Linked DNA regions of Saccharomyces cerevisiae S288C. Changing the gene in region 3 together with the main gene of any one other region gives a genetic interaction. Each region holds a gene or a part of one and is shown on either strand. Other genes may lie near its edges.

Region 1 (2,915 bases), on a different chromosome or scaffold from region 3:
ATCAGTAAAGTTTCTTGTATACCAGGGAGTCTATAGCATGGGCAGCATCCTTTTATCATTCGTACTGGGTGTGGTTTTCGGACGTGGCGGATCTGGATGGAAGCCATACTATAAGCTGTTTATTTGGCTAGTCGTTCCCACGATTTACAACCTACAACATCATGTCACTGACGCTGACAAATTGTCGTTCAACTGCGAAAACTTTTTCCAGGCCCCACAAGACTACGTATTAGAGCGTGTCAAGAGGATTATGGAGAAGTCAGTCATTCTAAGTGTAATCAGCATGTTCGTATTACCAATCTTTACCACAGTATTTTTTTCCAGGCAAAAATCGGGATTATTTGATTCATTTACGAATGGCGTGCTAGCTGTCACAAATTTACTAATAATCTCCTGCATTATCTTCATCACTTTCGAATTCATAAATATAGCATTTGACGCACATATGTCCATAGGTTGTCTGCACAAGGGCAAGCTAATTTCGAATTTGTCGTCGACGCCGATGGAAACCCTGCTTAGTGGGCTTTCTGCAGACAAGCCATTTACTAGGTTGACTGCCTACCAGGAACTAGCGTATAGGGCCACTTCACTGGATCCATCATTGCGAGCACCAATATATCACTCCAAGTTCAGAAGCAGTAGTGGTAATACTTGGTCATTAATCCTCAATGAATGCTTGAAGACCATTCAGATAAACAATGAAAAGGTTGTGCAGTACCTAAGATCAGTACAAGATCTTGGGGGCTCTGCAACTGCTAGACATAAAAAAAAAGTAGAAAATCTAGATTATATGTATGAGAACGGGAAACTAACAAGCGCCAACGAAAGACTCTTTGGGAACCGACCCTCTATGATGGCGCCATTACGGGATAACGGCTTATTAGATGAATCACCAAACAGGCTGAGGGTAAGAACTGACGATAGTGTATTGCTTAACCGCGGAAACAAGAAAAGGCATAGGTCCTCGTATTACGACAACGATTTAGATGAAACGACACAAACTTTTAACGGCTCTATTTTCACCCACGAAACAACATTTATGACCGCTATGCGTCTGATGTTAAAAAAACTGAAAAATTCTATAATGTCGTTTATTTTCCCTTCCTACGCAGAAAGACAATCATCTGATGAAAGCGACAATTACAGACTATTACCAAATGGCTCCAACAAAGCCCAAATCTCGATAATTGACATATGGTCCATTTCCAAGAAAAGGCAAGCTGAGAAGCTGGTTCCATTGCCCATATGCCACGCAAATAGTGTGGTAGCACTGACAGGACTGCTGATCCGATCAAAGACAGAAGATCCAAAAGGCGGTATCATTGCATCCGTTGGGGATATTCTTAAGACTTTGGAGAGGTCCATCTGTGCACTGGGTGAATTTGCCGATTGGGATCCGGAATCGATGGCATACACTGCCTTCCAAACACAAAGGACAGCCCAAGATAGAGTACAACAAGACAGTGAAGACGAAGATAGCATGAAAGACACTACTGACATGATCAGTGTTCTTTATCAGCTGTCCACCAGTGCTTTTATGGAGATTGTACTTGAATACAATGTTGCTCTGAACGACGTATATTTGGATGCAGACGTGGCCAAGTTGGCGAACTGGTTTCTAGAAGTGTACGCCTCAGGCAACCCTAATGCTACGTAATACAATTCAACCGAGGAGCACCCCTCCTCCCATTTCATGTAAGATAAATACAATAATAAAAATTGGAATACCGCACAAATGCTTTAGTAGAGGCCTAATATGAGCAAAAAGAGCAAAAAGCTACCTTTATCGTTTCCGGGTAGCGAATCAAGGAGGGCCCTTTTATGCTTCAAGAATAATAGTAAAGAAAAGTATAGAGAAGAGGAAGCAATGCTTCCTATCGGAATTAATTCAATTCCTGGTACTAGAAGCGATAACATCACAGTTATACGTTCAAGATGTCACGCATGCCATCTAGTTTCGATGTTACGGAGAGGGATTTGGATGATATGACCTTTGGCGAAAGGATTATATACCATTGTAAGAAACAGCCATTGGTACCCATTGGGTGCTTGCTGACTACAGGAGCTGTCATTCTGGCTGCTCAAAATGTTCGTCTTGGTAATAAATGGAAAGCTCAGTACTACTTCCGTTGGCGTGTGGGTCTACAAGCGGCCACACTAGTCGCACTAGTCGCAGGTTCATTTATCTATGGGACTTCTGGTAAGGAACTGAAGGCGAAGGAGGAACAATTGAAGGAGAAAGCCAAGATGAGAGAAAAGTTATGGATCCAAGAGCTGGAGAGAAGGGAGGAAGAAACGGAGGCAAGGAGAAAAAGAGCCGAATTGGCAAGAATGAAGACCCTTGAGAACGAAGAGGAAATCAAGAACTTAGAAAAGGAACTAAGCGACCTGGAAAATAAGCTTGGAAAGAAGTAATTTGGCTCTTCGATTTGCTGTAAATAAATTATGATGAGAGACAAAAGAATGAACAGCTAATTTCGACTGTAATGAAGAAATGTAATAAAAAAATTCATGATGCTATGTCCAGTATTCAAGAAAAATAATTACAAAATAACAGCGTACATATGAATATTCTTTGTTTTTATCTTGTATAACTATCACTTAAAACATATTTATATCGATAGGTAAATGCTATATCAATCGCTCTATTTACTTGATTTTTAATATGTGGGTTTTTTTTTGCTTGACACATACGTAACGGTAATTGCCAGCTAACGATCGGTACAATTTTCAGAAAAATTGAAACAGAGAGAATCCACCAAATATTCAATTGCAAGGTGACGTACTTCAGATAAACACTTTATTGTACCATCTTAAGCGGCTATATAAAGTGTCATATACACCCTTCACCAAATACGCAACATGTCTGAATATCTAGCTCAGACGCCCTGCAAATTTACTATATGGTCAAGCGA
Region 2 (2,534 bases), on a different chromosome or scaffold from region 3:
GGTGATCCCTACTCTTGACATCGAATAAGCGGATGGTATCGTCATAGCCATTGCACACTAAGGTGCCATCTGTCGGTGAGTAAGAAACTGCAGAGACGCTCAATCTTGAGTCATATGTGGAGACAATTTCATGACTGGGATAGTCTTCATATTGTGACCACTCTGGCTTTTTAACAAGGTTTCTTGTATCCCAGATTTTGAGTGTTCTATCAAGTGATCCGGTGGCAATCTCGTAGGGTCTCATGGGATTTATTGCCATAGACCCGATCTTCTTGTCTGCGAGTCTTCGCAGATTATACTCTGATTTTTTTACTCTTGTGTCAAACGTGGTGAATTCACCACCTAATGTGGTGAGGAATAAAACATTTGGGTTTTCGTAGCTAAACTGGCAATCGCTGATACCCAGTGAATCGTCATATTCATTTTTCAAGGTGAGAACCTCTTCACTCTGTAAGTTATTCAAGTGAACTGACCTGATGCTTCCGTCGTAAGAGGTGAGCAATATCTTCGATGTGTCCGCAGGGAAGCAATCAATACGGCCGACGTTTTTGGTAAATAGTTTCACTCTGGTGATATCGGGTTCTTCCATTCGGTCCTCTTCGCTGTCAGCTAGTGGTTCATCTCTAACGTTCCAAAAACCCACAGTACCGCTTGTATCACCTGCAATTATTAGCTTTTTTTCCATAGCAGGATGGAAGTAAGTGGCAGAGATTCTTTCGTATGTAATCTTAATTTCGTTCGGTTGAAAAACGTCATATAGATCCAAATCAAATTCGTCCATCCCCGTAACGTCACCCTGTCTCTTTTTTATTTCTTCAAAGAAATCACCAGAAGAAAAGTTTCCGTTATTAAACCTCTTGAATTTCTCTAAAAGGGCACTTTCGTCTTCATCCTTGATCAGATCACTTAATTTCACATCTCCTATTACAGGTTTCTCCTTTATTGCGTCTATAAAATTCTTATCCTGGCCATCTGGAGAACCCATTTTAAGCAACTGATTATCGTTCACATTGGGTATTCCTTTCACATCGTCTGCAGACTCACCCCTTAGCCTTCTTGATCTTCGTGTAGGTAAAGTGGGACTCGCAGACTTGGTTGCTCTGGTATTAGTTGTTTTTTGTTTCTTTTTTGCAGGAGCTCTAGATTTTTCCAACACCCCAGCCTCGTGCTTAATTTGAGATGCTACTCCAGACAAATGGAGTTTTTTCAATAAATCGTTATTCCTTTTGATGTTCTCTAAACGTTTTTTCTGAAATTCTGTTAATTCCGGCATTCTTGACTGAAAAGCAGCTTTCTTTTAATTGCCGTACTAAAATAGATCGCCTATTGTGTACTATTGACGACAAATGCAAGATTAAAGGGTTTTTATCTTCTCTTTAACAATTGTTCAAATATACATTTACCTCTTTTGGCGTTATTATAATTGTAACATGTCAGAAATTGAACATTAACAAAAAACGCGTAATATGGGGTCCTCGGGTGAAAAATTAACGATGGGCTTTTGAAAAAAGGTACGAGCATATAAAGCGAGTACAGTCATTGTGTGCCACCAAGTAGGAAACAAAACACCGCTTAGAGAGAAACAGCAAGTGGTGAAAAACAATGAGTAATATTTTGGCAGTGTTCAACCCTCCACCACAAAGGGAGCTGGAAAAAGAAGAGACTATGGATTGCGTTCCTTGTCAAGTCATGAGCACTATGTTTTCTGTTGGATTTGGCTCATACTTGGCATCTGGGAAACCATTCAAGTATGGTAAAAAAGAAGCCAAAAGAGGCATTTCTCTGACTGAATTTGAAAAAAGAAACCCACAATGGTGGAAAGTAACTTTACGTAGCTTCGGTGGGTTATTAATCGCCTTCGGTTTCGTTAGAGGAACCGAAGGTTGGTTGTGGCATAAAAATAAAGAATATAAGAACTATAAGAAATTAAGTAACGATGGTGAAACACAGGCTAACTAGTATTATTCGCAAGCTTCTCTCAATCGTGAAATTTTCTGTACATAAAGTGCTACTTTGATGATTATTTTTAAAAATATTGTTACATTAGAAAATTGGTTTGTGATTTACATAATCAGGAGAGTCTATATATATATGAATATAGCTTTGAGAAAGGGATGTGAAAAAAAGTGCAATATGTTCCTAACTAATGTTATCGCATGCATTCAATGGGTTGATCTTTCCGATTGTTTCTTTTCTAACTTGGCACGGTCCAAGGCTTCTCTTTTAATTCTCTTGTCTTCCTTTATTTTAGATTTTATTTTTCTACACCAATGTCTAAATTTATCATCTTTAGACGGTGATACGTATTTCATTATAAGATCATGATGTAGCAATTCATGAATCGATGACCTTTCCCTTTCATTCTTAATACAACACCTATTGACAAAATCTGTCATTTCCTTGGAATAGATACGGTCTTTGGGTAATCTTGGTGAAGGCTCGTTGACAATACGTTGCAGCAAATCCAATATGCCATCAGGTGTATCGTTATGCCCACCTAGGGGAAACTCTCCAGTTACCAGCTCGATGATCAT
Region 3 (2,996 bases):
GTTTATTATAAGAATCATAGTTTTATGGACAAGTTTTCCGTTTAGCATTTATACCCATATAGTAAAAAGTTTCGCAGATAGTGCGATAGTTGTATTCTGATTGCCTTATTATTATTTCACTAATTCTTTATTCACGTAGAGCATGACACTTTTTTTATGTGTTTCCTTTTGATTGTGAAATAAAGGCGAATCCTAACAAATATTAAAATGTTTCAATACATTGATAAAAATTGTAAACATTATTTTTTTGTAGTATAAAAATTCGTTCCTCATCATTAAAGAAACAAAAAGCATACAGATAATAATAAAAAAGGCACTTTAGACAGAATGAGAATACTAGCAATCACGAATTCCTACTTTTCCTTTCTGTATCCCTAGGCGTTTCACTCGACAAGAATTGATCGTCTTGTACCAATCCAAGCAGATCGATATATACATATATATCTGGATTTCGAGAAGAAGGATATATTTTATTGCTTATTTGTCTTTTTATAAAATCTCTCCTAAGTTAAGTTCATGGGGAATCTGACTCTAAAAATGAAATCTTAGAAATGCAAAAAAAAAGAAAAAGTATGGGTGAGTCAGTTTCTTCCAAATATATACAAATGGTCATCATTTTCATTCCAAAGTTTCTTTACCAGGTCAACAAAACCATTATTTTTCGTTTCCAATTCGTAGATACCGTACAGGGACAACATGGATCCTCCATAGAGGCAATAAAGGGCGAGCTTATGCCATCTTGGATACTTTTCCTTCGGTATATAGTCAATAATACAACTTGTGAAGCCATACTGTAAATATATCAAAAAAATGGACGATAAAGACGCATCGAGTAAAGGATTTATAACCCCGCCGGTAAAGGAGGCATAAAAAGGTACCATTGTTAATGGAATCAAAGTATATTTTGCTATTCTCTCATAGTCTTTTTGATAAGAGTCCTTAAATTGAGAGAACTCTGGGGGCTTAAACATCTGCACTGAAGAGGATGCCTCTTTTGACGTATTTGCAATATCGTTTATTTTATTTTCAGCATTTAAACGATTAATGCTATAAAAGGATCTTTTGGTTGAAAGTACTAATCCTGGAAAAACAGCTCGTACAGGATTTACAATGACAGTGGAAGCATTAAGAACAGGCTTCAAGCCAGGAAACAATAGCATTACCAAAGGTATTAAATTACTCAGTTGTTGCACCTCGCATCACCGTTAATTAATGTGTGCATTCCACTGTCTGGAAGTTTTCATTTTTATCCGATCTTTTGCGAGAATGGTTTGTTTTTCAAAAAAACCGAGTGTCAACAAGGCATGTAGCGACACAAAATGAAAAATTGAAAGTTAACAGGGCAAGATATGCACCATAATAGATTCATTGTTAATCTTAATCAAATAAAATTTCTCTTTTCCACACAGAAAACTAAACGAAAGGTATAACTTTAAGATGGGTTTTGTTGATTTCTTCGAAACATATATGGTCGGTTCTAGGGTCCAGTTCAAACAGTTAGATATTTCTGATTGGTTGAGTCTGACCCCAAGGTTGCTTATTCTTTTTGGCTATTTTTACCTTCATTCTTTTTTTACTGCAATCAATCAATTCCTACAGTTCATTAACACGAATTCCTTCTGTCTTAGACTGCATTTACTATATGACAGATTTTGGTCGCATGTGCCCATAATAGGTGAGTACAAAATTCGGCTGCTCTCGAGGGCACTGACATATAGTAAACTGAAAATAATACCAACTTTAGACAAGGTGCTGGAGGCGATTGAAATTTGGTTTCAGCTACATTTAGTTGAAATGACCTTCGAAAAAAAAAAAAACGTCCAAATTTTCATAACCGAGGGAAGTGATGACCTAAACTTTTTTAAAGATAGCAAATTCCAAACCACATTAATGATATGTAATCATCGATCAGTGAATGACTACACATTGATTAATTACCTTTTTCTCAAAAGTTGTCCCACCAAGTTTTATACTAAATGGGAATTTCTACAAAAGCTGAGGAAGGGGGAAGATCTAGCTGAATGGCCTCAGTTAAAATTTCTTGGTTGGGGAAAAATGTTTAACTTTCCTCGATTGGATCTACTAAAGAACATATTCTTCAAAGATGAAACACTCGCACTCTCATCGAATGAGTTAAGAGATATTTTAGAAAGACAAAACAATCAAGCTATTACTATTTTTCCCGAAGTCAATATCATGAGTTTGGAACTATCAATTATTCAAAGAAAATTACACCAAGATTTTCCCTTTGTTATAAACTTCTATAATTTATTATACCCAAGATTTAAAAACTTTACCACTTTGATGGCTGCTTTTTCATCAATTAAAAACATCAAAAGAAAGAAAAACCGTAACAATATAATCAAAGAGGCCCGATACCTGTTTCACAGAGAACTTGACAAATTAGTTCACAAGAGCATGAAAATGGAGTCTTCCAAGGTATCCGATAAGACGACGCCGCCCATGATCGTAGATAATTCATACTTACTTACAAAAAAGGAAGAAATCAGCAGCGGCAAGCCCAAGGTGGTACGAATCAATCCATACATATATGATGTCACCATAATTTATTACCGAGTCAAATATACTGATAGTGGGCATGATCATACCAACGGAGATTTGAGACTTCATAAAGGTTATCAATTAGAGCAAATATCTCCGACAATCTTTGAGATGATTCAACCAGAAATGGAGTCTGAAAACAACATAAAGGATAAGGACCCCATTGTTGTGATGGTAAATGTAAAAAAGCATCAAATTCAACCATTACTCGCATACAATGATGAGAGTTTAGAAAAGTGGCTTGAAAATAGGTGGATAGAAAAAGATAGATTAATCGAGTCCTTGCAAAAAAATATTAAAATTGAGACCAAATAAAGATCCTGAATCATAATATATACGTGTGTACTTCACTTTCTATAGAGGAAAAAAAGCTAAAAAAAAAAAAAAATGATAAAATAAACGAAAAAAACCATAAAACGATCATGATAGAATAA
Region 4 (3,040 bases), on a different chromosome or scaffold from region 3:
AGCTTGCCCTTTTTGATCATTGCGGAACCAAACCAGAATCCCTGTACAAACATAGTCAACGTCAAAAATCTCAAGATCCCAGCGTTTGCAGCAACAAAAAAGCAACTCTTGATGAAGAAAGTGTTACAATTTAGTATGATTTCCTTGAATTTTTTCCTTTCTAGACGTTGTGTACAATATAATCTCACTAATTGAGCGGCATTCATCGACCATGTAAGTAATTGGGCTGCTTTACTCGTTTCAGAATTCTCCTTCTCTGAATATACATGAATCATTCTGGAAAACACCACTGCAAAAAATGTGATTATTGGAGAGCTGCAAAGAATAATTAAAGTTAATGACCAAGAATAGTAGAATGACGTCCCCAGAAGCGCACATATTGCAACTAAATTCTGGAAAGTTATGGCTGATGCCTCTGCGGAGCTTGATCTTAGCTCTTCCACACATCTGTTGATTTGAGTAAAATCTCCTAACAATTTTTCATTATTGTCGTACCATTCCATTGGCTTTTCCTCCAAATATGCCTCCAATATCTGTGACCGTATTCTAAAGCCTTGTCTCTCGCCGATGTGCATCCAACTTGTTAGAGAAAGCCACATTACTGGCACAGAAGCCGCACCAAGTGCCATTACTGCCATTGACCTCTGTACTAGTTGGGAATACAAACCTTGATGTGACCCATTAGCCACGAAAACTGATAGTAGATCGAACACTCTGCCCGTCAGGATAGAAGTAATTGCCGGCACTAGGCCTGTTGCCACGGTACCTATTATCATTATCATTAACAGCCTGTAGTCATTCCGTATGTTCACGTACCTGAAAATGTGATAGTGTTTTGTAGTCTTAAAACTTAAAAAGTTCATGACGTAGCTTGTTCTTTGTTTCCTAGTGGAATTTTCAGCGGCACTTGAAAGCTCTCTGTGTGAACGTAACAACGGGAGATAGTTCAGCCATATCCAGGTTTATAAGCTCTGGTATTTAAATGATGAACGGCAATAATGCAACAGTTTTCATATCTGAAACAATTGTATATGTGCGAAGCAGCGTGTAAATTTCCCTATTAGGTAATTACATGGCAAAAAAAATAAGAAACTATTTTCTTAAAGTACCTTTACCCTTTGTGGAAAACAATAAATTGTATAGTGGCAGAATAGAGAAAAGAAAAAGGAAAGGAACATATTTGTCAGTGCAAGGACCATCATTGTTTGAAAAAAGAGAGGATATTACTAGTAGGTAATAACAGCTATGTCGCGTTATATATATTATATATAAAAATTAAAAAATAGAAAATAAAATTTCAAATGCCCTCTGTGGGAATTGAACCCACGATCCCCGCATTACGAGTGCGATGCCTTACCACTTGGCCAAAAGGGCTGAGTAATTTTTATACCTGCTAAATTTGTGGCTCCGCTATACTTTACAGATTTATCTATTTTGAAGATGATACATTTAGCAAAAATGACCTTAAAAATGAAGCAGGTGCCATTTGCCTATAGCTTGGAAAAGTAGTAATGGTTATTCAAAAAGTTAGCAGCGAGATCTTTTTTCTATCGCGCGTTAAAACGTTTGAACAGATATATATTATTCAGCCACAACTATCTATATATAATATTTCTTCGATTTTTCGTTTTCTCAAGTTTCGTCTTATTGATTGATCAGAAGTTTACTGCGCTTTTGGGTAAAGAAGCATTAAACAAAGGAGAGAGAAATATTGCAAGGAAAAAATGGTGAGCTATGGAAGTCATAGTAGTGAGGTTTCGAAAGTTCTTAAAACGCCGAAGTTTGTGCTTAGGTATGGAAATGTATCCAGCAAACAACGTTTTGCCCTAAAGCGGAAGATAAATTACAAACTACGTGAAAGCAAATATCAAGAATACTTGAATGAATACAACACCTTCGTGCTTTACGACTGGGAAAACAGTGGCGCTGGTAGTCTTGTCGATTCTTCCTACAATCTCCCCTCTTTATGGAAGGAATTCATAACAGAGGGCATATCTAAAGGAGCAATAAACGACAAACTACCGACAGTCTTTATGAAGAGGAAGTTGACAAACTCAGCGTTGGGTCACTGTTTGGGACTTGATTTCCTGACTGATCCGAGCGAGTCAGAACATGAATACAGGTGCATGTTTCAGACAGTTCAGGACATCCCATCTCTCTCGCAACTGATCTTATTCAACAGCATGCCAAACGTTCCAGTAAGATTGAAATTGCATACCATTGGTATAAATATAAATTTCGGCTGCAAACGTTCCCTGATAAGCAACGGTGGTGATCAAGACACTGAAATGAGCGAAGCAGTCTCTTATATCCAGCCTTTATTGGAAGAATCCTCGAGAATGTACCGCAATTTAAACTACTGGAAGCTGTTAAAAATAGCACGAAATAACAAGAAGGATGAACCGTTGGATCAGAGCACGCGTATCAAGTCGCAAGTTAAGCTTTTACTGAGTCAATTGGCGACGAACCGAATTACCTCACCTTCCGTCACGGATCATGGGGGTCACAACTGGCTCATATTCACCAGAAGACGGTTGTAAACGATAAATATGCCATAAAGATCTGCGAACTGTACATATCCATATATAATGCGTATTATTTGGTGACTATAGCACTGGCTTCCGCCATCTCACTAAGAACGAAGAGGTATAATAAAGCATTGTGATGTTAAAGAATGACGATTAACCAGCATTTACAACAACTTCTCTTCAACAGAATAGACAAAACAACAAGCAGTATTCAACAAGCTAGGGCGCCGCAGATGTTATTAGATGACCAGCTGAAGTATTGGGTCCTGTTACCTATTTCGATTGTCATGGTTTTGACGGGTGTACTCAAACAGTACATCATGACACTTATAACGGGAAGCAGTGCAAATGAAGCACAACCAAGGGTAAAGTTAACTGAATGGCAATATCTACAATGGGCACAATTATTGATTGGAAACGGTGGGAACCTGTCTTCCGATGCATTTGCTGCGAAGAAGGAATTTCTAGTTAAGGATCTCACTGAGGAAAGGCACCTAGCCAAGGCCAAGCAG

What was found.
Region 1: mutations in TIM18 (region 3) and RCF1 together harm fitness more than expected from each alone (negative genetic interaction), as found in Saccharomyces cerevisiae (3 studies listed by BioGRID).
Region 2: mutations in TIM18 (region 3) and DMO2 together harm fitness more than expected from each alone (negative genetic interaction), as found in Saccharomyces cerevisiae (3 studies listed by BioGRID, with this or other methods).
Region 4: mutations in TIM18 (region 3) and CBT1 together harm fitness more than expected from each alone (negative genetic interaction), as found in Saccharomyces cerevisiae (2 studies listed by BioGRID).

The regions. Positions count from the first base shown.
Region 1 is NC_001145.3:214,500-217,414, forward strand, and holds RCF1 (respiratory supercomplex assembly factor RCF1), read left to right. Parts: upstream 1-1,935; coding exon 1,936-2,415; downstream 2,416-2,915. Other genes in the region: NDC1 (Ndc1p), read left to right, coding at 1-1,657; USA1 (Usa1p), read left to right, coding at 2,863-2,915. UniProt on the Saccharomyces cerevisiae protein: Assembly factor that plays a role in the assembly of the respiratory chain supercomplexes (SCs) composed of ubiquinol-cytochrome c oxidoreductase (cytochrome b-c1 complex, complex III, CIII) and cytochrome c oxidase (complex IV, CIV).
Region 2 is NC_001136.10:173,657-176,190, reverse strand, and holds DMO2 (Dmo2p), read left to right. Parts: upstream 1-1,602; coding exon 1,603-1,959; downstream 1,960-2,534. Other genes in the region: CMR1 (Cmr1p), read right to left, coding at 1-1,273; mitogen-activated protein kinase kinase STE7, read right to left, coding at 2,163-2,534.
Region 3 is NC_001147.6:874,162-877,157, forward strand, and holds TIM18 (Tim18p), read right to left. Parts: upstream 1,161-2,996; coding exon 582-1,160; downstream 1-581. Other genes in the region: MUM3 (Mum3p), read left to right, coding at 1,438-2,877. UniProt on the Saccharomyces cerevisiae protein: Component of the TIM22 complex, a complex that mediates the import and insertion of multi-pass transmembrane proteins into the mitochondrial inner membrane.
Region 4 is NC_001143.9:45,433-48,472, forward strand, and holds CBT1 (Cbt1p), read left to right. Parts: upstream 1-1,724; coding exon 1,725-2,540; downstream 2,541-3,040. Other genes in the region: ATP-binding cassette a-factor transporter STE6, read right to left, coding at 1-863; ER membrane complex subunit EMC3, read left to right, coding at 2,762-3,040. UniProt on the Saccharomyces cerevisiae protein: Involved in 5'-end processing of mitochondrial COB, 15S rRNA, and RPM1 transcript. May also have a role in 3'-end processing of the COB pre-mRNA.